Linked DNA regions of Solanum lycopersicum. The main gene of each other region encodes a partner of the protein of the gene in region 5 in a complex. Links are inferred from orthologs where the notes say so. Each region holds a gene or a part of one and is shown on either strand. Other genes may lie near its edges.

Region 1 (5,908 bases), about 14 Mb from region 5:
CAAAATTACACATGCCAGTGTAGGCATAGACTCTACCTAATGGTAAAGGGATAGGTTAAAGTATCCCCATGGAAGGGTATAGTGTGCTATGATAGTATTATTGAGTCGATTCGTACGACACTACAATGAGACGACTTGAGCAAGTAGGGTATGTGATACTTGCCACTAGGTTGATCACCTAGTTGACCTTGGATCTAGTGTCGGTGTTGGATTTTACACTTGACTTTTAAGTTCAAATGTTCAAATTTCAATTTGATATCAATGTATTATGTTCTATATCAAGTTATACTTGCATTCATTTTCTAATGAAGTCTTGTCCAAGCTTTGACTGAGAGAGAGTCAATGATACTTATAAAGTCTGTGACAATGTACTCTCAGCCCTCCTTAGGCCCCCTTTATTTTTCATATTTTAATATGAGGCGTGACACATGAGGAGCAGACATGGCTAGGGTGTCTCTCTTCCTAATGTGTATGTTGAGGCACAACTTTTATTCCGTGGTAGCTAGTGTGTCCCTTATTCTTTTCTTCGGACAGGAATTGTCCCAAGAGTTTAATTCTATTCCATTGTATAGAGGCTCCATAGAAAGTTGTGTTGGGCTGTAACAATGGGAGTTTACATGACATACATGGAAAGACGTCTCTTTTATTTTGATTTCATTATTCTTGTGAAATGCTTTAGGGTATGTTCTTTTGAAGTTGAAAATATTTCATGATTAATTTGTAAATGCAAAAAAAAAAAAAAAAAAAGGAAGGTCAAATGGCTTTCATGCATATGGTCAGGATGCATCATATGGGTTTGGTTTGCTTGGTAGGGTAGTCAGTAGTGTGTCTTTGCCGGTCACATGGACTTGGGGCATGACATATACAAACCTTCCCTATGTAAGCACTAAGCATTAGTTGCGACATAGAGAAATAAATTACATCAAATCCAACTCTTCGAAACAGTCTATGCTCAATTTTTCTCTTTGAAACAGAAGCAAAAATCTGTTTAATAAATGAACAATAACATTCTATAAAGTTGTAATACATGCTATTTATCTGAACTCACCTAAGAATTTTGTCCTCTCCCTCAGAAAAATGACGTTTCTCTTCCTCTGGTTCTGCTATGTCTTCCTCACTATCACTACAGATTAGTGCCTCACTACCATGCTGGTCATAGTATATCCGCCTTCTCCCAACCACTGATTGATCTTCAGCCATTCTTTGATTTCTGTGTTTTGTGAAGAAGAATTGAGAGCAAAGAGCAAATAAAATCCTCATTTCTAATAAGAATGAAAGTATAATCATGATAGCATCAATTATTGGCCTAATCGAAAACTCAGAAGTACATAATATAAAAGCTAAAGAAGAGTAACTGGAGAAGTCAAGATGAACAAGATTAACTTTAATGCATGATAATGTATGAATACTACTGAAAACTAGTTTTCTCCCAATCTTCTCCAAGCTATTAAATTGTGGAACTGCCTTAAGACTTTGGAGCGAGACTTAGCTGTTGATGGTAACTTATCACCAAAATAGATATTAAACGGAAAATAAATCCACGACAAAGGCCAAATTTCTATCTCAAGCTTGTCATGAAAGTGTTTTGTCCAAAAAATTTCTATCTCAAGCTTGTCATGAAAGTGTTTTGTCCAAAACAAATACAGAAAATAAAGAAAAAGATGCAAATTTTGGTGCTTCTAATTAAGCCTTATACTGGCGAAATATTCAGGTTAACGATATACAAAAGGCTAACCAATGTAGCTAGCACAAATGTTATTTTTTAGAATTTCTTTCCAAGTGTCCTCTTCTATGGACTTCTTCACAGTATTGTACTAGAGATAACTATGATTATCACGTACTTGTCTAAAAAGATCCAAGTAGTATATGGTGGAATGTTCTGAATGAAGGGAAGTCTAGCAGTTACTGAAGATACGACTTCCTCTCCATTAGCATAGTCCCTGTCTCCTGAACCTTGAACAAGTCCAACAACTTTGCAGAGGGGACTTGATATTCTTAAAGAAAGCATTTTACCAGTCCCAGAATTCTTCATAGTATCACTCCTTGATGTAGCCAACATAAGAAGTTCAGAAACATGAATTTCTAGCTTCCTTTTGTTCTCTTCAAGTTTGTCCTACACAAAAATAACCTTGTCAGATAATCCTTTTGCCTTTCTTTTAATTATGGTTTTTTTTGGAGGGGAAGTGGTTACAAAACCACTATTCATGTTGTGCCCATCAATTACAAGTAACATTGTAAAAAAGTATTCTAGCAAATTCATATGACATAGCACACCACAGTCACTCAATGAGAACCAAGAAAGTTAGATGAATTCTTTTATTGGGTCATATAACCTTCTTCGTATTCTTTATTTCAACTACAGTTTTTCTGTTGATGTTTATGATATATCTGTGTGTCTATATGTCAGAAATTGGCAGCCCCCACGTTTAATTGTACACTTTAATTTTTTTTTAACTTCCACTCACAAGTCTTCTGATTAGTAACTTAGAAAATAGAAGTTACTCACTAATTGGTTTGCTCACAGAACAAGTATTAAAGAAACAAAATATCTGTAAGAAAAGAATATTCATTTAAGATCAAAGTTTCCAATGAATGTTCTGCATTAACTACGGTATGGGTTGGCCGAACACCATTCAACATAGAAAGAGATAAGAGTGTCCGAGAAATGCACAAGCCTATCTGTGTGATTGCTATGATATCAGCAGAAATACAGTTTTAAGTGTTGAATATAAAATAGAGAAATGCAAAAGAACTAGTACCCTAACTGAAAGAACTCTGTCCGTTTGAATTTGCCTTTTCAGCTGATTGATTCTGTACTTTAGAGATGCTGAAGAATCCTCTTCATTTTCTCCATCGAACTTCTGTCAATTTACAAAGTTAAAGTTTTCATCCATGCTTAATTTATTCAAAAAGAAACACAAACAAATACTCATCTGAAATTGAATTGGGGAAAAAAGAAAAAGCTCAGACCTCATTAAATTACCTAGTAAAGACTATATTATCAGATGACATTAAAACAACAAAAAGGTACGGGGGAAAAGAACTCATAACCCATAATTTCATTCAACAAGGTAAGTTGAATAGATCATTAGCTAGATTGACAATTAAAGCAAATAGACCTAGTTAAAAAAACACAATCCAGGAAATATGTAAAGCATACTACTTTTCTAGTTCTTACTATTTCCTTACACTTTCCCCCTGTTTACTCATCAATGTCCTTTGTTTAATACCCATTTTCAGGAGCGGGAAAGCAAGGAAAATTACCAAGAACACAAAAAAAAACATGTTTTTTCTTCAACAAATTTTCATAGTTTTCCAAGAATTTCAAATACCCCACAACCCCACAAGAATATATGGATCAACAAGATGATCGGGGCAAAAGGGTGTGCAGAAAGTAGTCAAATTTGATGATGTGATTAACTTAAAAAACAATTCAAACATAGAATCAAGAAAGGTACTGACAGTGGGTGTGGGCGCAGATTCAGCAGAGATGGAGGTGGAGGAGATCATCAAGTCCTGTGTAGATAATCTTTCACAACAATAGGGAAGTGAAGGAATAGTTTTGATGAAGAAGAGAGGAGAGTAGCGTAGCGGAGTGATAGGAGACTTACGTGGAGATGGACTGATGATGTGACATAAAATCCGAATATGATATTAGAGTTTGATCTATTTTTTGTTTTTGTTTTAAATTAACTGTGTCTGTTAGGGTTGAATCAAAATATATATTTAAATTCGGAAATTTATCGATGTTTTTCGCGAAAATTTAATATCATATAATTAATAAAATAATATTCAGATTTATCAATCATTAAAAATAAATACTATATTATCTTACATATAAGACTACAAAGTAACGAACATTAATAATGTAAATGAAAAAAGTAATTATAACATCTTATCATTTATCCTTCAATCGATCTTCTTGAATTTGATTTTATAATTTATCCTTTTGCCTCCTCGAAGTAGTATTGTTATTTGATATTTTTGGAAAATTAGATAAACATCAACATGAGACATTAAATTTTCTAATAAATAAATAATATTTATACGTATTAACAAACATTTATAACAATAATTGTACAGAAATATAAACAACAAAATTTAAAAACAGGAACTAAAAAAAACAATTAGTATAATACACATAAATTAATGACGATAAAAAAAATATATCAACATCTAAAACAATAGAATGAAAAAGAAAGAAAAAAATTGAGTCTACTTAATGCACAGTGTCCCCTTAAGGAAATTATTCCCTTAGTACCGAGATTTAATGAAATTATTTAGACGTGTATTCAGATTCAAAGATCGCAATCTTAATAAAAACAAATGAGGTCTAAGACACTTTAATTGGACGATGTTCACTTTAGATAACTTATATAGAATCCCGCTATGTCATTTTGACAACCTTTTAAATATAAACAAAAACATACAATGCGTGTGTATTACACTCGCGGATAATGTATAAAATAACCAATTAAACCACGACATCTGTCATTTATGTCAAATTAATTATAAATAATTAATGATAAATAAAAAAAATGATCAATAAATTAATGACACATAATATTTTATTTTTGAAACTGATAACATTAATGATGACACGTAATATAAACACTTAATTAAAATATGTAAGTAAAAAAATTATACCAACTTTAAAAGGCTACCGATGAATTAAAACATATTTTAATCCTATGAGTTTTAATTTTGTACTTAAATTATCACCCATAGTATATTTTTTAAACGAATGAATTACACTTAAGTGTATGAAAAATAAATGCACACATGCTGTTCAACAAAATTCCAAAGAGAAAGCAATTCATCTTAGTTTGTGCATAACTCAATGGAATTTCCAAGCAGAAGTGGAATAGATTGGAGTTCCTTTCCAGCTGATCATGAAAGACCCTCTGTTAACATCCACACTGCAAGAATTCTTACAAGCAAACTGTTGAATAATCAAGTTAGCTTGATACAAACATGTGTCACTTAGCTTTACTTCCTCCATTCCAAACCTCTTCAAGAATGATCTCCACACATCAAGATTCACACTTCTAATGACCCTTTCCTCCCCTTCATTTCCTACTACGTTCCGAATCCCTGCTCCGTATGACACTTCCAGTGTCATCCTGTGTTGATCATCCCGCTTCATTACATCTTCCAGGCAATCAAATAATGCACTGTAGTAGAATAAAGTGTCTATGAATCGGTTCACGAATAGAGGTGAATTCAGATTTGCCTCTACTTCTGATACTACCATTAGTGATGGTTGTAGCCTTCTTACAACTCTCATTGCAGTTTCTAAACAGTTGGGTATGCTGATCATTGCTCGTAGAAAGAATGCTGCATGGATTACTACTGCTTCGTCAGGTTTTATGTCGAAGTGGTCTTCGGTCAGTTGGTTTCTATCTGGTAAAAAGATGATCTTGAATGAGAAGGGGAAGTTCAAGGAATTAGCGAAACTCTCTAAAGACTTGCCTGTTTCTATTACTCTTTCTTTATTGACTGATTCGATAACTGTGATCTTCATATGTTCGATTGGGTTGTCTTTTCTCTCTGCTGCTGCTTGGATCAAGGATGCCCATTGTACCCCTGTTCTGATAAGGAAATCAATTAGGTGAACTTTGGGTTTCATTGCTACACTTTCTAGTATGGCTTGAATTCCTGTGAAATGCACTATTTGGGTGAATGGAACTTCTTGATGTAATGCTACGAATGAGGCATGGAATCTTGATGCAACACAGATACTGTTAAGTTCATCTGTCTCCGTGCAGATTTTTGGCATTAATTTTCCTGTTTCTCTATCGATCCTCTCTCCAAGTGCTTGTGCAAAATAAAAGACTGCTCTTTGCACAGGGTTACCTGTGTTTGATGCAAGTAGTTGGCATTGACTCAGAAATTTCCTTGCACGATC
Region 2 (6,033 bases), on a different chromosome or scaffold from region 5:
TAAATTTATATTTATTACTTCTATTTTTTTTTAAAAATTATTTAGGTGTATATATGATTCTTCTATCAAAGTTCAAGGTATATTTTAACTTTTTTCATACATAAATAATTTTTTGTCTTCTTTTATTATAATTATTTGAATTTCTTATTCTTATTTTGTTTTTTTCTTTTCATTCCTTAGTTTAAAGAAAGAAAAATTAAACTATTTTCTTGTGTGTATTGTAATTTAGTTTCGTATTCGAAGAAAAAATTTGGTCATCTACAATAAGTTTTACAAGAATATTAGTGAAACATAAATAAATTTGATTATCAAACATAATTATAAATTAGTCATTGAAACGAAAAAAAAGTCAAAAAGAATATGTTTGATGAGGATTAAATTTACTAATATGGGATTATATTTTTTAGAAAAAAATAATAAAAATTTAAATTTAAATTATTATTTTTTTCATTTCCGTTAGAGGAAAAGGGTATATGTGAGCCATTTGTTTACAAGTAGGGGTATATATGAGTCACTTTCATAACAAAGGGTATATCAGTTCTAAATGACAAAGTTTAGGGGTATATCAGACCCTTTTCCCTAAGTTAAATAATAGTTCTTCGACATTTTTAAAAAGTAAATTTTATGAGTCTTGATTTCTGTTTGTTAGCAAAAGGATTTCTTGATAATGTCAATTGCAAGATAAAATTTGCCACTCCATAAATCAGTTTGATGTTTGATGTTTTTGTGGCGATTATTGTTAAAAAAAATTCACTCAAACGGGGCACATATTTAACGTTAGAATACACTATTAAATAGTTTAGGGGTAAAAAAAATTTCATAAAATTTGGGATCGTAACAACAATTTCGTTAAAGTTAAAATATTTTTCAAATCCTTTTTCCTCAATATTTTTATTGTCGACTCATTTTACTAATTTATAATTTATAAATCTGCAAAATTAATAACCAGATTAATAAAATATTTATATCAAATTTTATTTTCAATTCAATTTCAATTGAACATATAAGAAAAAATGCTCATAAAATCACTATATATGTGTATGATGTTCATAAAATAAAAATAGTAGCAAGAAGAAAATTGCAATTACTTTTTTTCAATGGGTTCAACACTTTGGGCAAGCCTATCAGTGTGTATATATACAAGACACTGTAAAGGAAAAATTATATGAATTAATATATTTTTAAAAATAATTACTAATTTTAGCAATATTTTTTTTTAATTATTCATATTAATACTGTGATAAATCTGTAATATGTATTAAAAGTGAATTATGTGTGCAATATATTTGAATTATAATTGTTTTTGAAATATCTTATGTTTGTTTGGTTAAAAATTATCATATTGTATTAAAATGTGTGATAAATGCATTATCCATCATTAAAACTTGTATTATATGTGAATAATAAATTATTTTTTTTGTAATATGTATTTAACTTGTATTATAAATGAATTAAAAGTGATCAAGTGAAAAAAATATTATTTTTATAAATGGTAAATATTTTTTTACTATAGTATATTTATGTAAATTTCTCGACTGTAAATTGATGATTTATTGGGTTATCAATTTAGTCACTAACCAATATCATAATTCATGGGAAAATTCAAATATAATAGCAAGCTATTAATTCAAATTAAATGTTATTAATCTAATACTTTATTCTCAATAAATCATTAATGATTTTTCGATAACTTACATAAACATCACTAGTTTAAACGTTAATTATGTATATTCACACTAATTTACAATATCATAAATCTCATCGGATTTAATTTTAAACTTCAAATACATGTATCTTGCACGTAACACGTGTATCTCAAATACTCGAGACCAAAACTAGACATAATTCATTCAAAATACATCCAAGTGAACTCACACATGCATGTATATGACCTTTTCACTCGCCTCTCTTCGCGTATCTGATATTCCAGTGTAATTCACATGTATATGAGATACATACTATCTCACTCGCCTCCCTCTACCTACTTTTAATTGATAAAACAATAAACAATACGTAAATATTTTAAACTATAGACAAAAAATTAAGAAATAAATACAATAAAAATATATATCTAATTTAATATATAGTAAGTAGTAATATTTATATTTAATTAATTTGCTAATAAGGGACCGTTTGGATTATGAAACCTTTCATTTTTTCACGGCGCGAAAACCAAAAAAATCCCCGCAAATAATTCGCACCAAAAGGCGGGAAAACAAACATAAATCTAAAAATTTGTATAAAAAAATTTAAAATTCTACAAAAACAAACACGCGGCACATCTCTTCACTATCACCCCACTACCCCCACCTCAACCCCCACCCACTATTTCATTTCTAGGGTTTTTTTTTTTTGTTCTTCATTGAATCTTCATATACAAGTTTGGGTATTTTTCAGTTGAATCGGAGCAATGTCGGAGGCGATGATGATTGACGGTGTTGAGGAAGTGAAGATGGAAGTTGTTTCGGATGGATCGGTGAAGAAGACGATGAAGAGGAAGAGGGTTAGTTTGGTGATGGATAGTCCGGAGGAGAAAGCGGCGAAGATTGATGGGTTGGAAGTGGAAATGAAGGGGTTGGTTGAGTATTATAAGGAGGTATTGGAGAAGAAAGTTGTGGAAGTTGAGGATTTGAAAGGGTTGGGGTTGAACTCGGTGATTGCTTGTATGATGGAGGAGAGTAGTCTGTCGTTGTCGAAATTGGTGGATGTGATTTTTGACAAGATTAGTGGTAGTGAGTGTAGTTGTAGTAAGGTTAGTGTGAAAAGTGCTGTGATTTTGGTTGGGCAAAGGATGCTTTACGGAATCCCAGATGCAGATGTTGACGTTTTGGAGGATGAATCTGAGTCGGCGCTTTGGTGTTGGGAGGTAAAAGTTTCAATTTTTGTTATCTGGGTTTGTTTATTCATAAGCAACTCTTGAATCGCTAGATTTTTGGGTGTTGTTTTTACATGAATATTGAATTGGGAATTGGATGTTCTAACGATATTATTGTTAGAGAAACTTTGTTTTACTAGTTTATCGATTCTTTTGGCATGTGTGTGTTTCATTAATTTGGTGTATTAATGTTGATTGTTGTTTCTAATGTTTAGATTGCATCTACTATGTTGTTTGATGTGTCAAATGGCTGTCTTGCTTCAGTAGCATATCTGCTTAGCTTTAATGAATATTCATTGATTAGATTTGATGCTCGTAAGGAAATTTTTAGTTATCATGCATATATATGCTAGTTACTCAAATTGCGAATTTAGTGAATGGAGTTGATTCTAGAAAGTGAAATTTCTAATAATCATTCATTGATATGACCCTGTTATTTTCAAATTTTGGATACTCCTTTCGTTGAGTACATATTATCTGTCTTAGACTTATTTGTAGGATTACTCTTAATATGTTAACAATCAGGAGTGATGGAGTAATTTGCACCTCTAAGAACTGTTTGGATTTAAGTTGAAATGATGCATTTTCTCCAACACACAGGTTTGAGAACTAGAATAAAACCCATCATATTATTCTCACCAACAGGCGGAAACTGAAATAAATCTCAAAACTTCCAGAAATTTTAAATTTTACAAAACAAACACGTGTCAGCTCTCTTCTCTATCTCCCCACTGCCACAACTATTTCATTTTATCCTTCTTTTGAGGGTTTTTGATTGTATCTTCCCTTAGAGGTTTCCTAAACCGGTTCCAGAATCTGTGAGAACTTGCATTTTCAGTGGGATCGGAGCAATGTAGGAGCCGATGGTGATTGCCAGTGTGAATGTATTGATAATGGAAGCTGAATCCTCTATGCTTATCACTATTAGAGACATTTTGCTTTCCTAGTTTGTTGATTTTCTAGAATCTCTTGTGTTTGGCATGTGGGTGTTTCATTATGGTAACTCCTAGTGTTAATAGCTGGTGCAAATGATTGTTGTAGATTTTTCATTGTGTATTAGTGTTCATTATTGCTTCTAATCTTTAGACTGGATCCACTATGTTGTGTGATCTATCAAAAGAGTGTCTTGTTTCAACCAATGGCAGTTCAGCTTATTGCTCAGACTCTTTAAAGATGTTAGTGTGTGTGTGTCGGATTCTCCAAAAGTATTGTATTTTTGGAGAATCAAGCATTTGTTAATTAGCTATTCATTGATTAGATTTAATGCATAGTTATGCTAGTTACTCAATATTGTACATGCTTCAACCCTTCAATCAGGCGATTGAACTTTTGCATGCAAATTTGGTGAATGGATTTGATTCTAGAAAGTGGAAACCCATAGACAACTCTTTCCCGCTATTTATTCTTTCAATGTATTCATGATACAGTTTTCTGTCATCTGTTTTAATCTACTTTTTAGTATAAATAATGCTAATGCTAATGCAATTCCTTTATTATTTTATAGACACGAGACCTTAAATTGTTGCCCAAATCAGTCCGGGCTATCCTGAAGATCCGCAGGACTTGTCGTAAAAAAATCCATGAGAGAATTACATCTGTCTTTGGTGAGTGAATACTAATAACTGTACATGTTAATCTGTTTGTGGTGAAGAAGGCTTTCTATTAACCTTGCAATATTTTGTGTACTTCATATATGGGTCTCATGCTAATGGTGTCCATATTATATATGGCGTAATTTGTGGTACTGTTGCTTCTAAACATTGGCCTTTTGGTTTGCTTGCATTTTGGATACACTTGGTTAGGCTTTCAGTGAGGCTGATCATTTCCAGTTGCGTTGATGAAAACATGAACTGAATTTGGATGATTTAGAAACGTGATCGTATATTTGATTTTCTATTGGTTTACTCCACTATTCTTATCCATCTGATAGCATGTGAATTAGAGTACATAGCATTATTGATTTAATTCATTCAGTGCAATTACTTGTGATCTTTTTGGTCTAATTATTTCTGTTGATTCTATTTCCTAGATGGAAACATATGTTGGATGGGCTTTTTGTATGTAATTCATTAACAAGTGAATGATCTATTTGGTTGTCTTCCAACAAGCTTAGAAATTTGATAAGCTGAAATATTTGTGTTTGGTCATTGTGGCAGCTTTATTGACTGCGCTAAAAAAGGTGGAAACTGATCAAAACTGCATCCAAGAACAGATGAAGGCTTCTGAAAAGCTTGGCAAAGTATTAAATGAGGCAGATATCCGCTTATTAGTTGCAAGCATGGAACAGAAAAATGGTGCTGAAGTGTATGTGATATCTATTTCTTCCCTAGTATTGTTTCCTGTATCTGTCTCCTCTTTCCCATTGTTTACTCAAATCTCTTTATTGATAAAGGGCTGAAAAGTCAGTCAAACTGGAGGAGAAACTTTTGATTAAGCAGTTGGAGAGAAACAAACGAGAAGCTGAAAAAGAGAAGAAAAGGATGGAGCGTGAAATTCAGAAAGAAAAATTGAAAAGTGTGAGTCATTTGATTCAACCTGTTGGTTAAATGCTTGTTGCTGTTGGCATATCTTTAGAAGTGTGCCATTGGTGGTGTCATACTGGCCATGCCTTTAAATATGATCTTGATTAATCTTTTTGATGGCTAAATCTCCCTGTGCAGGAAAAAGAGTTAAAACGGCTACAAAGTGAAGCAGAGAAAGAGGAAAAGCGGTTTGAGAAAGAAGAATCTAAACTGAAAAAGCAGTTGATGAGAGAACAAGAAGAAACTGAGAAAGATCGACGCCGCAAGGAAAAGGAAGAAGCTGAAGTGAAAAGGCAACTTACTTTACAAAAGCAAGCTTCAATGATGGAGCGTTTTCTCAAAAGAAGCAAAACTAACTCTTCTTCCCAGAATAGCCAATCCTTAGATGAACCAGCTTCTGATTTTGCCCCTACCAAGTGCGAAAAGATGCCTGAATCTGTTACTCTGTCAATGGACTCAGTCCTTACACAAAATGATGACTTCAATGCTGATGATATATGGAAGTTAGTTCTTTTCTGTTCTTTCATTTTAATGTGGCGAGTTAATATTTTTTTCTTGATATTTATATAGATGTTGCTTGGATTTTCTTTACAGGTCACACTTGACTTCATGGCATTGCTTAGGTCGTTCTATTCT
Region 3 (5,904 bases), on a different chromosome or scaffold from region 5:
GTAAAAAAAAAGAATTCAGGTAGAAAGCAGGTCAATATATTCACCTTGGACAAGATAAAATCACCAAGCCATCTGTTACAGTCAACGTAGTTGTTATGGACAGAAGCTATTAACAACTGAAAGGACAAAAAGAAGGTTACAGCAAGAAAAAATCCTCCAACCAAACTTTCAGAAGAAAGAAGGCAGGGAAGGAGAGAATTAACAAGAGTTACTCACTGGAAACTGTACATATTTTGTGGGAAACTTGGAAGGAAGATCCGTCCAAGTAAACGATTTCTCCACATATGTCCAGAATTCTGTAGCACAAGTAGTTCATCAGAAAAGAAATATCAGCTCATATTGATGTTACTTCTTTATATATACTGGTAACATTACTCAAATTGATGTTACTTCATTTTATTTTTTTTCAAACTTGTGTAACAACAGAGCACCAATGGAGCAGATGACTACTTAATCTGACTCATAGCCAACGCTACATCGTTTCCAGGGACAACAGTAAGGTAATTGCTGATAGGTGTGACTATAACTAGGGAAGTAAAGTAGTGTAGATAAAAAGCATTGTGAACACCAGAATACATAAATTCTAGGATAACTGCATGCTGCCTAATATTCCTTCCAGGTAATTGGTACATTGATAACTGCGGTTGGATCTTTGAAAACGTTGGCATCATTTTTATACTTGTAACCAAAGACAAAGATATCCTTGTAGAAATATGTGCTAATAAATTAATGTATTCCACAATGAAGATTGTGTGCAAGTCATTATTTCAACACGTCCAGGTAGTCGTGTGAGATTCAAGATATATCGGTGGCAAAATCACCAAATCCAGAAAAGTACAGGCATAGCACCATCATCATCCCTAAAGATTCTGGAAAAGCCTTGTGAATACAGCCAATAACAAGTTGCTACTCTAAAGATCACCCTCAGTTTTTCTCTTTTCAAAGTTTTAGACTGTGATGATACTTAGTATTATATCATATGTCGTATTTCAATAATACATGTGAAACTGAAAAGGGTTACAGGTTTTACCTTTCATTGACCAGATCTTAACAGTGTTATCCATTCCACAGCTAGCAATCCGATATATATCAGTAGGATGGAAGTCCTACAAACATCACAAACCAGCTGATATGCTTAAATATTGGTTCTCAGTATTAGTAAAAGATGTGAAAGACATTACTTTGCGACCAACTCCATCCTTGGAGTGGAACTGCAATTGACAGAGAAACTTACCACACTAAGTACTTCATTCCGATGACCTCCAGCGCCAGCAAATACCAAAATGCATATTCCAGTATGAACATTCCACAAGCGAACAGATTCATCCTGTAACACTCGTGATAATTACACTATGCCATGTAAAATATTTGCAAAATTGATTGATACTCCACATACATCTTGCAACTGTGCAAATATTTTTCTTCCAATAAAGAGGATCAAATATATTTTTCCTTGCGGGGGAAGGAAATAGAGGAATCCATAAGGTACATACTTTGCTGGCAGATAATACAAGAGATGGTTTCAAGGGTTGAGTCCTAATTTCATTTACTGAGTCTCCGTGCCCCACAAAGCTCTGTTCAATCATAAGAAAGTAGATTAAAATAGATTAATAGACATATGATATTAAGTTAACATGTAACTAGCTTTAACTTTTAAGAGAACCTTTCTCTTTCAAGTTTGTATTGTTAATACAACTTAACATGGAACGAATCATGAAGGAATATTTAACTTGTAAATATCATGATGAATAAGATGGATTGAATCATGGAAAAAGGAAATACTTTAGTTTTAAGATAAAGATCAATTAGAGGGCTGTTAAAAACTCATATGCAGATATTCATTTTTTATAACTAAAAGAGCAACTACTTTTGTTTGAGCATGTAAAATGTGAATCAGAGATTTCATGTCAAGACCTTGTGTAGCTTCTCTTTCCCAGCATCAATAACACGAATAACTCCATTTATTCCACCAGCCACTAAGAATGGACTTCCATCAATATTGCAGGCCCAACTTACAGTGTAAAAGGATTCATCTTTCTGATTTACACAGCACATGGAAAAAACAAAAGTTTTTTAAGTATATGAAATAACATATGTACAGAACAGATGGAACAACTGTGTGCTTGCAACTTCTTACATCTTCATCAATATAAGACTGCAGCACAGCAATGACACCACCTTCGAGACACTGATATACAGTCACCTGACGAACAGCCAGAAAATAAAGACTAGTCAGGATATCGACAATTGGCATACAGTAAAAGCATATCCTGACTTCCTGAGGCTAGTACTATTCTTCTGTTGTTGTTATCTTCTTTCAGTTCGGTATTCTGAAACAACTCTCAGATGACATATCTAGACCAATAAAAGACACATCACTTAACAAGAGCATGCACTTCTCCAAATCCTAAATTTACTTTTACATCATCCATAACTCTCAACTTAGATTAGAAATACAACAAGATATATAATAGCATAACTCCACACTGCTAAGAGATTATACAAGATTACAATCCATACCCAATTCTGAGAATCATAACCTTTGCCATGAACAATTTATAATAGTAAGGTGAACCATTAGGTAATTATTATCAAATCTGTTGAATATGTGGCACTCTGCATGTGTGGAGAAACATACAAAAACTGTCGATCATTACACCATACAACATAAGTTTGTACAAAGCTGGCTCATCCATCCTAAGTCATAACTACATAAAGACATTTCAGTTTGTGACGCATCAATGAATCTACCAAGATAAGCATAAGAGCAATTGTAGGAAACAAAAAGGGTCCTTGAACCATCAATCAACATTAAAGCAACTTGCAAGTCCAATTTTAGCACAATTTCATCTGAAACAAGCAGCAGCTCAACTAATATTAACCCCGAGGCATTTAAAAAAATAAGACAGACCAAGATGGAAAGAAAAACAAAAGATTGATACTTCTTACCTAAATTGTACAAATTTTGAACTTCCATACTAATACATGAACCCAAAAATAACAACAACAAGAAGACCAACTCTTCAACATTAACCCGTTTCATTTCAGAACTCAAGACAAATGAATGAAAAAATTGAACTTCCATACCAATAAATGAAGCCAATAATCACACACACAAAAAAAAAGAGCAACCCATCAGTCTCAAACAATTGGGACAGTTACACCCATACCCGTCATCCCGTTTCATTCTAGAACTCAAGACAAATCCTAAAAGAACGAAAATTTCGAACTTTCATAGTAATACATGAAGCCAACAACCACAATAACAACAATAAGAGCAACCCACCAACCTCAAACAATTAGGTCGTTCATACACGTACCCGTTTACCCGTTTCATTCCAGAGCTCAAATTACTAAAAGAAAAGTATTATATTCCACAAATTCGAATCAGCACAACAAACAAAATACAATTTTGACAAACCCCAAATGAAAAAACTCACACGATTTCCGCCCACAGTAGCAAAGACATTGAAGTAGCGCGAATCAATGAAATTGAAGACGACGCCATATAATGGGCGTTTGCCTTCTTGGAGTCTGTTCGTCACTCTATACTCCTTTTTCCTTGACGGTGTTAATGATCCAACAACTGGCTCACATCCTAGAGGTACTCTGGCCGCCATTGCTATCACTCCGCCAGAGCTTAGAGAGGAACGAAAAACTCTACATATTTACAGTGTCCCTAAAATATTTGTTAAAAAAAAAAAGACGCAAGTGACATTTTTTTTTAAGATTAATTTTATACGTGAGATGAAATTAGCGTTTTAGATATGATCTAAATTTTCAAATTAATATGATTTTCAGAATTTTAAATTATAATTTAAACGTTTTAAATAGAAAAATCGACCTGAATATATATTTTATTTTTAAAAACCTTAATAAAAATATTTTACCATCATTGTATTAAGTGCACAAGACATATCATTGTGAGTTTGTGACATTAATTAATTGAAAAAAACAATTTCTTTTACTAACACCTTGAACAGTATTAAGGTTCGATCAATTAATACGGTATGTTTTAAGAATAATATTATGATACGGTATATGTGATTTATTAAATTTTTATTTATTTGATAAGATTGTAAAAAAAATATAGAATAATTTTATAATTTATGATTTTTTTATATTCATGATAAAATGTTCAAACGACATATCCAAATAAAATTTGAACTTTATCTTATGATGATTTTGTGTCATATGACCAAACAAGATTCTAAACAAAAGTATATCAAGTACATCAGGAAAATAAATATGATTCTAAAGTAAAATTATCTTTAATTAGAGTAAAGTGATATTCTTCAACGATGAAAATAGTGTCACATGAAATGAACAAAACAAGTGTTGTATTCTATCTATATTAAAATACTGTCATATTTTATTTTTCGAGAGTAATTTAATCAATATTAATTTTAAATGAAAATAGGCGAAGAAGTATAGTTGGTTAGGAGGTATGGAGAGTTACTTTTACTTTTTGAGGGTGTAGGCTCGTAGATGTTTGTTATTGTACTAGCGACATTTCTTTCTTATTGACTTTGCAGTTTCTTCTTCGTTAGTTATTATGTTTTCTTCTTCTTTATACTTGAATTGATTGCTCTTGAGATGTGAGTATTCAAAAATAATTTCTTTACCTTCGCGAGATGGTGAAAAAATTTGCATATATTTTATCCTCTCAGATTCTACTTGTGAAATATCACTACATATGTTGTTATTGTTGTTTACCATATGTCAAGATTACACAAGAAATAATACAAGTCGTACTTTTTCTCAATATCAAAAATTAAACATGACAAATATTTCGAAACGCAATGTATTTCAGGTAGATATTTAGCTCAATCTAGATATTCACTTTTATCAAATAGTGTATATTGACAAAAGTAAATACTACACTATATAAGACCTTATCAACTTTGTTGGAGAATTTAAAACAATGGCTTCTTCTTCAAATATTCTTCAACTTCACCATCTCCATCTTCTTCCTTCAATTCATCCAATTTCTTGCGTAAAGCAATTCACTATCAAATGCACTTCACCTGAATCTTCTTCAGACCCAGAATTTCTAACCCCAAATTCAGAAACAACAATTAGCCCAGAAAAATTCCCAATTGAAAAACGTCGAAAATCCGAGATAATCCGTGAGAGAAAATCAAGAACTGAGCTTATAAAGCAAGACCCACCAAATTTCGAAATTGGGTGGAAGAGAACAAAGCCAATTCCATTAGATAAGCCAATTGGGTATGTGATAATGGATTTTTTGGAGAAATTGGAAGAGTTAATGGCTAGGGATTTTGGGTCGACGGCGTTGTTAGCGAAAGTTGGAGAAATAGTTGCAGAAAGAGCTAGGGAAGAAGCGGAAGTGTTGAAAGACGAAGGAAAAGTGGAGGAGAGAATGGTGACGGAATTGTACAGAGTTTTGAAGCTTATGGAAATGGATTTAGCTATGGTGAGTGCTGCTGTTAAAGAAGAAACATTGAATAAAAGACTTGAACAAGCTAAAGCACGTTGTAGGCAAGCCATTCTTGTTGCTAATTCTTTTTGACAAATTTGTAGCATCTTTGTTTCACTTGTACTGTATTTAAGTCTGTATTTCATTATCGACGAGCACGACCCAGAAAGCAAAAATCCTTGCTTTTGCTGGCTAGGGTTAAATATTGACACCTCCAATATGAAAGTCCCGAGTCCAAACCACGAGGTCACCTCGAAAGGATTGTAGATTTCATTTTTGGCCAAAAGCTGAAATTTTTCCTATTGTATTACAAAAAATCATCAATAATCGTTACATCTTTACTATCAAGGAGTACAATTGAAATATACTTTCTGAATATAGTAAATAAAAATTGTTCAAAGAGGCAACATCTTTGAGCAATAAAGAAAAGGATTATCAATTTCTCTTCATTGTTGTTCTCCCTG
Region 4 (6,101 bases), on a different chromosome or scaffold from region 5:
AAATTTCCAACCAAACACCTGCCAAAGATATCCTTGTCATTGAAATGCGAAGGAATTTTCAGAGATACCCCCTCATACCCTATCATAGCTTCATGTATGTCCATTTGTTTTCATGTAATGCTTCTTCATTGCTCCCCCTTCCCTATGAGGTGATGTTTGTATTCCCTGAGTTTTAGTAGCTCTCTACGAGGTCACTATTAACGAAGCCTTCTATTTTTGTCACCAATTGTATCCATATCTCACTAAATGTATTTTCAGGTAGAATAATTACTAGTGTCTTGGCCCTTGATAGAAATAGTAGAGATAAATCTCCAATATTGATAAGATTTATGAGACAAAACAAGGCTTGTTGAGAAATCCCTATAACGCCACAACTTGAAAGTCTTTCCTTTGTTTTCAAAGACCTCCTAGAGCCTTTTGCAATCTATAGTAGCGCTTCTTTGCTTATAACAACCTTCTTATATGATGTGTTGCACATTCCATTTAATCATACCAACTCCCTACTTTAGATGTAGAAATAATAATATCATATGATATGCCCCCTAGAAGAAAGTGCATATTGTAATCTATGAAAGCAAAAGGGATATGGTCATTCCACAGCCAATGTGGGACAAATTAACACTTTGACCCCCTTGTCGCACCCCCAGACCTATCAACCGGAGAGTGGACAACATATTATGGGGGGCCAACATTAGGTAAACCAAGAATTGAGATGAGTCTAACTTTTGATACCAAGATAAGAAATGGATCTTAAATGCAACTCAAACCCAAAAGCTAGTTCACAAAGTGAAGATTACTTGAACTATATAAATAGGCTAATCTTAAATCTCACAACCAATGCGGGATAACTTTAACACACTTGATATAATTTTATCAATCTTCTAGTCCACGCAGGACCTAATTTCATATTCATGAACCAATAAGATCTATATATGTCCCCTATAACATTTTCTTAATATAGTTGTTAAAATTAATAAATAACAAGTTGATGGAAAATTGAAGGAATTTGACTTCTTGAAATTAAGCATTGGATTTATGATGGCATCACATCATATGTGTTGTGGACAAAACAAAAAAACAAATGCATACTTTCACATAAGTGGGATTACAATGTTCCATTAGGATATTGATGTGAACAGAAAAAAAATTAAATTATATCCCCTACATGTTTCTCATGACGGACACCTAGTTTTCGATTTGTTAGAGCATATAAAGATAAGTATACTTAATTGACAATGACTTCCCTACTTATGGTTTTTTTATGAAGTACATTTCATAGATGATATCATCAATATGCATAAATCACTTTTTGGGCTTTTCTTGTTCCCTAGTTCTGGTCTAATCTCTTTTATATTAAGCAGACTTTTCTTTGTTAACTCTTTTTGTATTTCTGCATATTCTTCATGCCATCTACAAAATGTACTTCATAAAAAAATAATAACATAAGTAGGAAAGTTAGTCTCAATTAACTATACTTATCTTTGTATGCTCTAATAAATCCCTTAATTTATTGAGCATCATTTCTTAATTTTATGCACCATGGTTCACTTTTTTTAAGGAGGGTAACCTCAAATATTATAGAAAACAACTACTATAACATACATGGATTTTACGAGCTTCATCCTCAATTTAGTCTTATAGAGATTTTTTTTTTTTACAAAAGTAACAAGTTTGTATATAATCATCCGCATTAAGGCTGGGATCCCAAAAATTTAGATCACAAAGCTACATACAACTAAGTAGGCTCAACAACCCAAAAAAAGAAACCTATCTCTAGGTCCTATATCATCTTACAAGGATTCTAAGATGTCTACAATTGCTACAGGATCATCTATATATTCCGAACTACACCAATACCAAAAATTTTAAACATATTGAAACCATAAGACTAAAACATTCACGTTGAAACCTATAAAGCTAACCACCATGAAATGTGTGAAAAAAAAAAGAAATCAGAATAGGAAGTTAAATTGGATGTAGGCCAGAAGACCTAGTTTCCCATCTTCCCATGGCTAAGATTGCGAGCCTAGGGCCAAGAAATGGTATATATACATATCCTGAAACAAAAAAAAGGGAACCAAGAATTGAAGAGTAAATACAAGAATCATTATGACTATTCTTTTATACTCAAAATACCATGGAGGTCTGGAAAGGATTTAAACAAGGAATCTACAGATACCAAAACAAAAATACAACTTTATCCTAATGCAGTTTCTCATGCTTAGGTGGTAGGTAGATAACTCCCAGGACATGAGATTAAGTGGACATTCTCACCTTTATAAATCCATCAATGATAGCCAAATAAGGATGTGGCAGCAACCCCTCCCTGTGACAATAAGATGTTAAGTTTCATAAGTGATACATCTCTGCAGTTTAGGTCTCTAAAATGAGAGACAAACATTTTCCTAAAATATTGATTACCCTTGTATCCAGCATCTTAGGAACAGGCAATTCAAATTCCACACTAAAAAATTTTAGAGAACATTTAAGTTACCAAAATTTCAACAGAAAGTCAGAAACACAAACACACGTGAAACTACATAGTCATTTACACACAACCACACCAAACACAAAACCTTACTCCCTCCATTTTTGCATTACTTTTCTTTTAAGTATCCTACTTAGTTTGTTTAAAAAAGAATGACACATCTCTATGTTAGTGAGCTTTTAATTTCAATATTCCTACTTCAACCTTAATGACACTCCCTTATGGAAATGACATGATATACTTATGATCACAAGATTCAGAGGATATTTTTAAAATGTTATATGCATCCTAGTTTAAAACCACAAAATTGACAAATTACATCATTAAACTCCGTGTCTACTCCTAGTCAAACTAAGACACAAACTAAAACAGAGGAAAGATTAGATCACATTAAAAAGAATTGTAAGATTCTCATAAATATGATAAAATATGATCTTGTAAATATAGTATAGCTTGATTTACTCCTGTAATTATGTATTTTGATTCTCTTTCCTTTCTTAGAGTATGTATACTTACCTATTTAAACCCCAATGTCCCAAACCACAAAGATTTCCCATGCTACCCTTTTGGATTCAAGATTGGTCCACCCTACCTATTTGTTACTCCACACTCTTCAAACTTTTGCATCTGTTACTTGATCCTTTATTATCTTTTAGAAAGCACAGTAGAAAAATCATCCTTTCAAAACCTCCCTTAATCACCATCCTTTTGTGAAGTTCTTTACCTCTCACATCTAATGATATTATTCTGGTCATGGTAAAACTAACTGCACTTTCTCTTACCTAACTAACTTTGCTCCCGCCTACCTCTTTTGTTAATAAAAAAGAAGAAATAAAAAAACTTAAGCTATTCTAACCCCCCAAAGAGACCTTTCTCTCAATAACAACAAAAATGTCTGAGACTTCTATAAATCAGCACATGCATCAGTGTTGAAACTAGAATCTGCAACACTAAAATGGTGCTAATGCTAAAATCAGCTATCCCAACAAGAAATACTAAAATCATTCACAGACGCAATGAGCATTTGGAAATTACTAGTGTCCTAGTTCTTCACATTGCCCATATTCAGCAAGGAAACAAACCAGAGATAACCAGCAACCAACTCGTAACAGTCAAAACACCTCATCACGAACAATACCCAAAATATATATACTACCCAGCAAAGAGAAACAAAATTTCACAAAAACAATCAACAATCACAAACTTGAGTAACAGATCTGGAACCAAACACATTCAGCAAACAACCAATAAGAAAACAAATATATTTAACAAAAACATGAGAAACTCTGAAGAAAGTACCTGATGTGATTAATAAAAAAAAAAGGAGAGAAAAATTTAGGGTTATCGAAGGAGAAAGAGAGAGAGGGGTTTGTTTGGAGAGTAATGAAAAATTCTCTCTCTGTGTTAAAGAAAAGTTGGGACCTGTTAATGTTAGTTGGTGTTATACCAAATTTCTGCACGCCAATTAGAGATGATCCTCACGCGTAATTTAGGAGCGTGACCTGCTCTATTTGCCTGTTTTACAATTTGCTCGTCTCTCTCACGCTTTTTATTCTACTCTCAAGATAAGGTTCTATCATATTTTCTGTTGGAGGTATTCACTTTAACTTTTATCACCTCCACATGCATGTGCTTTTCATACCTAAATAAATATAATATTCATTTCCAAATTTTACATTTATACTACTATATTAATTGGAAAGGATTTAATTGTACCCTTCTACTTGCTTTGTTTTTCTTCATATTAACAATACTTTTCTTGTATTATGTAATAATATATATATGTGTTTATTTTCAATCAAATATTATGTATTACTTGTTATGAATAAGATCTAATATAGTTACATTTTGAATTGCTAGTTCAATTCGGCATCAGATTTGAATTTGGGTTTGATTTTAGTTTTAAAAAATGATCTATTGAAAGATCACTTTTGAGTAAAAGTTTTGCCCCTATATCCTTTCTTACATGCGAGACACATTTTTTTGCATCGGCGATATCGCTAGAAGATATGTATCTCTTCAACACATTAGTTTGTATCGTATTGTTGTATAATTATACATCAATGTTTCACCGATCCAACGCTGGTTGAAAAGAAACATCTCATTGTTGTCCTGGTTTGAAATGGTGCTTGAAGGGTGATATACAATTTTACGTCAATGGTCGCCGATGCAGCACCGATACGAATTGGTATTGCATTTTTTGAACCATTGAATTTTTCTTGAAGCAGTTTTTGATAGCTATAAATATTTAATATTTACTTAGATATTAACATACTAACTAATACACATCAAGTACTAAATTTTTGAAGTTATAACTTTTTTTTTTGCAAAAAATCAAGTGTCATTTACTGTGAGTTCAAGATTCAACAAATTTTAAGGTGCCACTATTTGGCTGAAGTGAATCATTGAATATTTTACAAACAATAAAGTGTGTCGATTTTTGGTTCATAAGTTCGAACATTCAAATATTCATGGTAAACGGTAATTGAATCAGATAATGTTGAGTTCATTGGTAGAATTAGACTTAAGTTGTTTATAAAGGGTTTTAACGACCTCAAGAAGAATCAAAGGTGACTGGACTTAATAAATAGATTTCAAGACATAGTAAACATCAAAGAACATTACTTTCTTTGCATATGATTTGGTAACATTTCTTCTTGAATATGAGGCTCAAACATTCAAAGAAGTTTTTTCTTTGTAGACTCATTCTTTTGGTAATGGGTTGTCTATAATGAGATTTATTTAATCTTGAGCAATACATAGGAGTTGGTTGATCTTCTTCCGGGAAACAAACTTTTTGGTTCAAAATGGATCTTCAATAAAAAAATGAAAGCTTATGGAACTATTGAAAACTAATATACAAGACTTGTCGTCAAGGGTTTTAGACAAAAAAAGCCTTGATTATTTTGACACATACTCGCTAGTAACTAGAATTACATTCATTTTGATGCTACTTGCATTAGTTGCGGTATATGATCTTGAAATCCATCAAATGAATGTGAAAGCAATTTTTTAAATGGAGAGTTGGACGAAGAAATTTACATGAAGCAACCTAAGGAGTTTTGTGGTTCCTTAAGTCACTTTATGGACTAAAACAAACACCCAAACAGTGATATTCGAAGTTTGATCAAATCATGTTGGCAAATAAATTTAAGATTAATGAGTGTGAAAAAATGTCACGACCCAAGAGTACCCCCCCCCCCCCCCCACACACACACATACTAAGTCGAACATCTTAGAGACCTCATCTATGAAATCTTGAGGACCCTCTCCTTCTTTGGAGCCATAAAACTCCAGATGATTTATCCTCACAAAATCTCTCACTCTCAAAGTAACCATACTCATTATCGGATCCACCGGAGCTACCACCTCCCTGCTCACTTGAGCCGTTATAACTTTAGCCAACATTAGAAGAGCCGACCTAATCTCTACATTAGTCATATTCTCATATATATGGTAAATTGGAGCTTGGAGGGGACCTCTTGCTCCACATTGTATTCCGCATTCCTTTCAACATTAGCCCTTGAAGTAGTAATATCCTAAAAAATTATAGGGCACACATTAGGAGAAAAGACCTAATAGAGCTAGGCTCTATGTCACGACTTAGTGAATG
Region 5 (5,831 bases):
ACTTGGATCAGAAACTCAGATTCGGACCACATGATAATATAATTGTACATCTGGATTATCATGTGCACAAATCAACATGGAACTTCAATTCTACACATGCCAAAACTCAGTAGAGCATATGACGTAGTCATTTTCACATGCTAGGACAATTCAGTACAATATTGACTCGAGCACACAACAGAATGAGCCTATTTCAGAGTTCCAAATCACATGTTGAGTGAGATGACAAAGTTGCAACCTATAAAGGAAGTGCCAAAATACTAATCTAGGACTAAAAGGTGTTTTTCCAAATAAATGGGCAGTAGCAAACAATGAAATGGGATAGTTTTCTAAGGAGTACAGGGATTGACGCCATGTGGGAGAAGAGGGAAGGAATAGAGATGATAGATCACAACTCTAGGTGAACTATAGCTGGCAAGATAAGGCAGGTGTTAACTTATAGATGGAATAATTAAAATTCAAAACATCAAAGAGCAAGATAGAATAAAAGCACCCACTGGACCGACAGAACATTCACTCTGATATTATGAAAATACTAGTAAGGATAGTTGGAAGAGTAACCTGCTGAGATCCCAAACCATGAGTCTCCTACCAAGGCAACAAGAAGCTAAAATGGTTTCATTCTTTGGATTCCACCCAACCTGGAAAACTTCCTCCCTGCAGAAAAGTTGCAAGGAAATTAATGATAAGCAACTGTAAATACAGATGAACAAGCTTCTATTATACTATTTAACACGAATGATGACGGAGCCAACATTTTCCTCAAAAGTATATGTAAGGAAGACATCTTACTTGTGACAATCCAAAGTATGAAGTGCAGTAGAAATCTTGCGTAGATCAAATAATTTAACTGTCTTGTCTGTAGACCCCGTTGCTACAACCCATTCATTAAAGGGGTTGAAAGCTAAGCAGTTAACCTGATCAAAAGAGAAAGGAGGTCAATCATGTACAATCATCAACACAAGACTGCTTGTTCACAAAAAATCTAGATAACTGCATTCAGAAATGTTTTTCATAATAGGCCATGTGCAGTAATGATCATCCTTCTATGATATTGTACATTTAATAATCAGCAGAGAGTATGGAAGGCAGGATCTTCTCCTTAAACCATTTAAAACGAAACAGAAATTCATCCAGACATGAGCATCACATTATAGTTTACACACACAGCAATCACTTGTTTGCACATCCAATAATGTAAACCCACGAAAATGAAAAGAAAAAAAAGTACAGGTAAAAATTGGGAAACACTAATTCTAGTTTCAAGAAAAACTATAATTATTTTGTAAGCACAAGATCCTCACATTTCTGTGCAAGAAAATCAAAAGACTGCCAACAATGTTAAGAAGACATATCTGAGTGGTTCTTACACCAGTCAAAAGGGAAGCATTATTAACTACATAAACGTGGAAAAGTCCAGCTAAGAAGTCTAAGCCGCACCTCACTTTGATGTGCAACTACAGATTGTATAGGCTTGGTCACTGATGGAGTTCGCAGATCCCATACGTGCAAATACTGATCATCCCCAACAGAGCCAAATAAATACTCATGCCTCAGATGCCAAGCTACATCCTCAACAACACCTTCATGAACCTACACATTTTAAATATTAGAATAAACCAACAACAGCTGACAAAAGCTTAATGAGAAAATAATACGAGAGACAAGATTCTTGTCCATGCTAGGTAGACTGAAGCTTCAGACAGCAAATAGTAGAGAAGATGATACCAAAAATATCCTTTGAGACAAAAGTTGGGACACTATTGAAGTTACAGTTTAACTTTGTAACATGATATTAATAAAGAGAACTCATGCTATTCTGCTTCGCTTGATCTTTTTTTACTTCGAGGTGCCTGGGGGTGTTTGCTGGAAGGGAAAGCATACAAGTTCTTCTCCAATTATCAATTATGGTTATTTGCACAAGATAAAACTACAAGTAGTAAGTGGGTGCAACAAATTGATAATCTATGCAGTGTAACATGGCAATATCTATCCTCTGCAGACTCGTCAGAAAAAAAAACACGAGGCAAACCTTAAATATCTGCATAGCCTCTAGAGCCTTATTTTTGGGAGTGGCATTAATGTCCCATAAACATATATGTGAGTCATCTGAACCACTCAATAGATGACCCTGCTTAAATTGACTCCAAGACAAACCATACCCCTCTGTACTGTGGCCTCTTAACCTCAAATCTGGATTGCATGCACCATCTAGAGGAGGCTTAGATGGATGTTTACTGTAGTCAAAAACATATACTTCAGCACTAACTGTCTTAGTTGCAATGATAAATGGGTTTTGGGGCATATATCGAGCCCGATTAACCTCTCCATCGTGATTTATTTGCTGGATTATTTGTACCTGAAAGAGAAATATTTATCATTATACATAAGCCACTCAATGTTGAAACAGAGACAAGAAATTCACTCTGATATTATGGGAAATAATAGTACAGCAAAAAGATATCAGAGTAAGGCCTTCAAGTGATAATTGGAACTGACAGACCATTTTTAAAACCTTTTTAGAGAATAAGATTTTACAGTTCCATGCCCTCATCATAAATAGAAGAATTCATTATCAATTTATCACTGACTCTATGTGGATAGTACCTTTGATATCTGTGACATCAATCTACACTAAAAGGTGATAGTCATAAGTGGTATTCTCATAAGCTTTTTAAAGTTCTAGCTGACTATTCAAAACTTCATCAGTTTTCTCCTGCAGCAATGTTGCTTCCAATCATCTTCACATTCAAATGAGTGGAGCAACTAAACCATTAGTTTTAGAACGCTAGCCGAATCAGGAAGCATTGGCTTTGTTACAACCCATTTCACCTAAGCTACCAGCAAATCACTACTGATTTGGGGTCCAAGCATCATTATTCATATATGATATAAAAGCCTCAAGTGCCCTTTATGAAGAGAACCTTTCAACAATATCAGGACAGAGAAAGAAGCAGAGGAATAATAAAAACTACAACAACGCATAAAATTTCAATAAGAAAATGTCAGTCAAAGAGTTCACTCTGCCCAAAGGGATTGACCTATTAGGTGCCCTTATTTGGTGTGGTGGTGGGTCAGAAAATGGTGCACTAATTATGCTAGGCCCCCTTTTTTCCCCTTTGGTGAATTTTTGATGAAATATTAACTGTACCTTGAGCAAAATCCATGAATGAACTGACAACTTCCAATTCACAACTCCCTAGTACCTACGCTGCAAAGGAGAAAACTTTGAGCCAACGGTCTATTGTAAACAACCTCTCGAACTCCACAAGGTAGGAGTAAGTCTGTGTACACACTACCCTCTGGGACTACACTGGTTACTTGTTATAGTGTTGTTAATAAACTTTAAACCATTTACTATATAACATAATCCCAAAGCTATCAAAATTCAAGAGATTCTTAAACAGGCTGCCCTAGAACAACTAAACTCTAGTACAAAACAAGTAAATCTCAGACGTTAACACTGAAATTAGCCAGAAAAATGTAGTAAAATAAAACATCCAGAAAATGAAAACCCATATAAAACAGCCAAACAAGGCATAAAACAGAATAGATTCAAACCTTGCCATTGGCACAACCAAATCCGCCAAATTCAGACCGATCATCATCATAGTGGCGGGCATCATTCTCAGCATCCTCAAGAGGCAGCTGAACCTGAGCAAGCATGAGATAGTTAGGCTCATTTTCCGATGTATGAGTCCCCAAAATCATCTTCTGAACGGAATAATCCTTTCCCGACGGCTCTTCCCGGTCCGGTAACCATTCGACGGTGAGCGAAGGCCATTCAAGCGCGTGAGTAATAACCAGATCGTAAAGAAAAGGAGTATTCTTCTTCCAAATCTTGTACTCCTCGTTTATCAGCCTCTCCTCAATTTCACCCCGCATCTCATCTTCGTCTTTCCCCATTAAACAATTTCAAGAATTGCCTTAAGATTTTTCTTCTTCTGTTTTGAGTGCGTGAGGGTTTGGGTTTTGTGGAGTTTGGGGATTTTTACGAGGGTTTGTAGAGAATTGGAGGGAACGGTATTTTTCAGTGAATTTTCTTTTTCTTTTTTTCTTTTTTTTTGCGGGATATGTGCAAAGCTAAAAGGGTTTTATATTGCGACGACATTGGGCTGTGTGACCCGAATTACGAATCGGTTGGATGTGCAGGTATCTTTACATAAATAGCCGCCAAATTTATCCTCTAGCCCCATTAAATATAAACTATTTTTACTTTGTTAACTACTCCCTCTATCACTATTTACTTATTCATGTGACCACATATTCTTTTATATCTATTCCTATTTACTTGTCTATTTTAACAAATCAAGAAAGGACAATAATTTTTTTTCCTAATATGTCCTTATTTAATTTTAAAAAATTTCTAGTATTAAAGGATCCTACAATTAATAATTAGTACCGATATAAGTTATTTCTTTTCTTGAATGGTATAATAATTCTGAAATAACTTATCCATGGACAAAATGACTAATTGACAAAAATATCCCTTTAAACACTTTTTATATATTACTTCTCACATTCATGAAGGGTGTTCTCGTACACATATATGTTGTTTAGAAGATTTATTATTTTGAATACAACAAACCAAATAGTCAATAAAAAATATTCTTAGCATAACTTATTTCATCATAATTAATTCCATCAAATATGAATTCAAACCAAACGAGTCACAATATTATCGAGAAATTTCTTGTAATTCTATTTTTTTTTGTTATATATTGCACTTGGATTATCATATTACTTTGTCATAGATGCTTGTGTTTTTAGTATGAATTTTCTTGTTTGCTTTAATATTTTTTCTTGATTCCTTTATTTTGAATGTTTCCCTTTTTATTATGATTAGTAAGGTTTGATAATTGAGTGGAGAGTATAAAAACAAAACTTTATTTTATTTAATATGAGTAGAATTTGTATACATATTTACCTTTTAATATTCTGTAAAAATACGTTAAATATGTTATTGTAAGATAAATATATCATAAAATTTATTTGGTAATCTACTAAAAATGAAAATGAAAATATATTATACCTTAATTGTATGTTCAGAGTGGACCTATATACCAAGAGCAATAAAATTATGAATAAGAATATCCAAGATAAGGACAGAGTAACCTCTTGTGATAGGAAGAAAGTAACTCTGAGATGATCTAAACGTATGAATAAGAGATGTGCATATGCTGCACTGAGGAGATATGAGAGGTTAGTTATAGTAGATTCGAGAAGCAGTAGAATAGGCAGAAGAAGTATTCAGAGAGCTAATCAGTCACGACACAAAATAACTTCTAATTACCAAGAATACTATCTTAAACATGAGGGCGTGGAGGACACTCAATGGGGTAAAAGGTTAACAAACAATGGATGTTGATGTTTGTTGTCGTATTATTTGTAATAATATAGTTTTTGCTTTTGATATCTATCATTGTTTGTTGTTTATTACGTTTCGATTATCATACGATTCTTAACTTCTTATTCCTTCTCTTGTAGGTTTTACATTGATTCCCTTATTAGTTGCTAAATAATCTTCATGATTTTTTTCATCTTCTTTTATTCAAAAAAAATAAATTACTACACTTGAGTTGATAATCTTTCAAAAGCAATTTTTCTAACTCTACGAGATAGTCATAAAATCTACTATTCCAGTTATTAAATATTAATTTAAGGAAAAAGGGCCAAAATACCCTCAACTTTGTGTTATTGGTTGATTATACCCTTATCGTTAAAGTAGAGTTATTTTTATCCCCTACTGTTACTATTTTCACCAGTTTTACCCCTTAACTGGATGGAAAATCCAAATCAACTAAAATTACCCAATTTCAATTGTATGACCT

Evidence for each region.
Region 1: MSI1 (region 5) and EZ1 share a complex: the UniProt entries of both Arabidopsis thaliana proteins name them as parts of the plant homeodomain / polycomb repressive complex. The link is inferred for Solanum lycopersicum from reciprocal best matches to the Arabidopsis thaliana genes MSI1 and SWN.
Region 2: MSI1 (region 5) and chromatin assembly factor 1 subunit FAS1 share a complex: the UniProt entries of both Arabidopsis thaliana proteins name them as parts of the chromatin assembly factor 1 (CAF-1) complex. The link is inferred for Solanum lycopersicum from reciprocal best matches to the Arabidopsis thaliana genes MSI1 and FAS1.
Region 3: MSI1 (region 5) and FIE share a complex: the UniProt entries of both Arabidopsis thaliana proteins name them as parts of the plant homeodomain / polycomb repressive complex. The link is inferred for Solanum lycopersicum from reciprocal best matches to the Arabidopsis thaliana genes MSI1 and FIE.
Region 4: MSI1 (region 5) and VIN3-like protein 1 share a complex: the UniProt entries of both Arabidopsis thaliana proteins name them as parts of the plant homeodomain / polycomb repressive complex. The link is inferred for Solanum lycopersicum from reciprocal best matches to the Arabidopsis thaliana genes MSI1 and VRN5.

The regions. Positions count from the first base shown.
Region 1 is NC_090800.1:74,596,238-74,602,145, reverse strand, and holds the start of EZ1 (histone-lysine N-methyltransferase EZ1), read right to left. Parts: upstream 3,612-5,908; 5' UTR 3,511-3,611; coding exon 3,463-3,510; intron 2,862-3,462; coding exon 2,760-2,861; intron 2,114-2,759; coding exon 1,842-2,113; intron 1,211-1,841; coding exon 1,049-1,210; intron 1-1,048. Other genes in the region: DELLA protein RGL2-like, read right to left, coding at 4,838-5,908. UniProt on the Arabidopsis thaliana protein: Polycomb group (PcG) protein. Catalytic subunit of some PcG multiprotein complex, which methylates 'Lys-27' of histone H3, leading to transcriptional repression of the affected target genes, mainly abscisic acid (ABA) responsive elements.
Region 2 is NC_090810.1:3,429,160-3,435,192, forward strand, and holds the start of chromatin assembly factor 1 subunit FAS1, read left to right. Parts: upstream 1-2,257; 5' UTR 2,258-2,410; coding exon 2,411-2,866; intron 2,867-4,379; coding exon 4,380-4,479; intron 4,480-5,031; coding exon 5,032-5,179; intron 5,180-5,267; coding exon 5,268-5,391; intron 5,392-5,535; coding exon 5,536-5,900; intron 5,901-5,991; coding exon 5,992-6,033. UniProt on the Arabidopsis thaliana protein: Component of the chromatin assembly factor complex (CAF-1) involved in chromatin assembly following DNA replication and DNA repair. Assembles histone octamers onto replicating DNA in vitro.
Region 3 is NC_090806.1:68,822,053-68,827,956, forward strand, and holds the start of FIE (fertilization-independent endosperm protein), read right to left. Parts: upstream 3,710-5,904; 5' UTR 3,621-3,709; coding exon 3,441-3,620; intron 2,204-3,440; coding exon 2,138-2,203; intron 2,038-2,137; coding exon 1,915-2,037; intron 1,575-1,914; coding exon 1,494-1,574; intron 1,328-1,493; coding exon 1,235-1,327; intron 1,107-1,234; coding exon 1,031-1,106; intron 297-1,030; coding exon 217-296; intron 117-216; coding exon 45-116; intron 1-44. Other genes in the region: protein CHLORORESPIRATORY REDUCTION 41, chloroplastic, read left to right, coding at 4,925-5,533. UniProt on the Arabidopsis thaliana protein: Polycomb group (PcG) protein. PcG proteins act by forming multiprotein complexes, which are required to maintain the transcriptionally repressive state of homeotic genes throughout development.
Region 4 is NC_090804.1:22,641,533-22,647,633, reverse strand, and holds the start of VIN3-like protein 1, read right to left. Parts: upstream 4,069-6,101; 5' UTR 3,788-4,068; intron 2,327-3,787; 5' UTR 2,275-2,326; intron 2,058-2,274; exon of another isoform or gene 1,991-2,057; intron 1-1,990. UniProt on the Arabidopsis thaliana protein: Involved in both the vernalization and photoperiod pathways by regulating expression of the related floral repressors FLOWERING LOCUS C (FLC) and FLOWERING LOCUS M (FLM).
Region 5 is NC_090800.1:88,996,585-89,002,415, forward strand, and holds the start of MSI1 (WD-40 repeat-containing protein MSI1), read right to left. Parts: upstream 4,049-5,831; 5' UTR 3,907-4,048; coding exon 3,562-3,906; intron 2,360-3,561; coding exon 2,033-2,359; intron 1,594-2,032; coding exon 1,441-1,593; intron 918-1,440; coding exon 793-917; intron 658-792; coding exon 562-657; intron 1-561. UniProt on the Arabidopsis thaliana protein: Core histone-binding subunit that may target chromatin assembly factors, chromatin remodeling factors and histone deacetylases to their histone substrates in a manner that is regulated by nucleosomal DNA.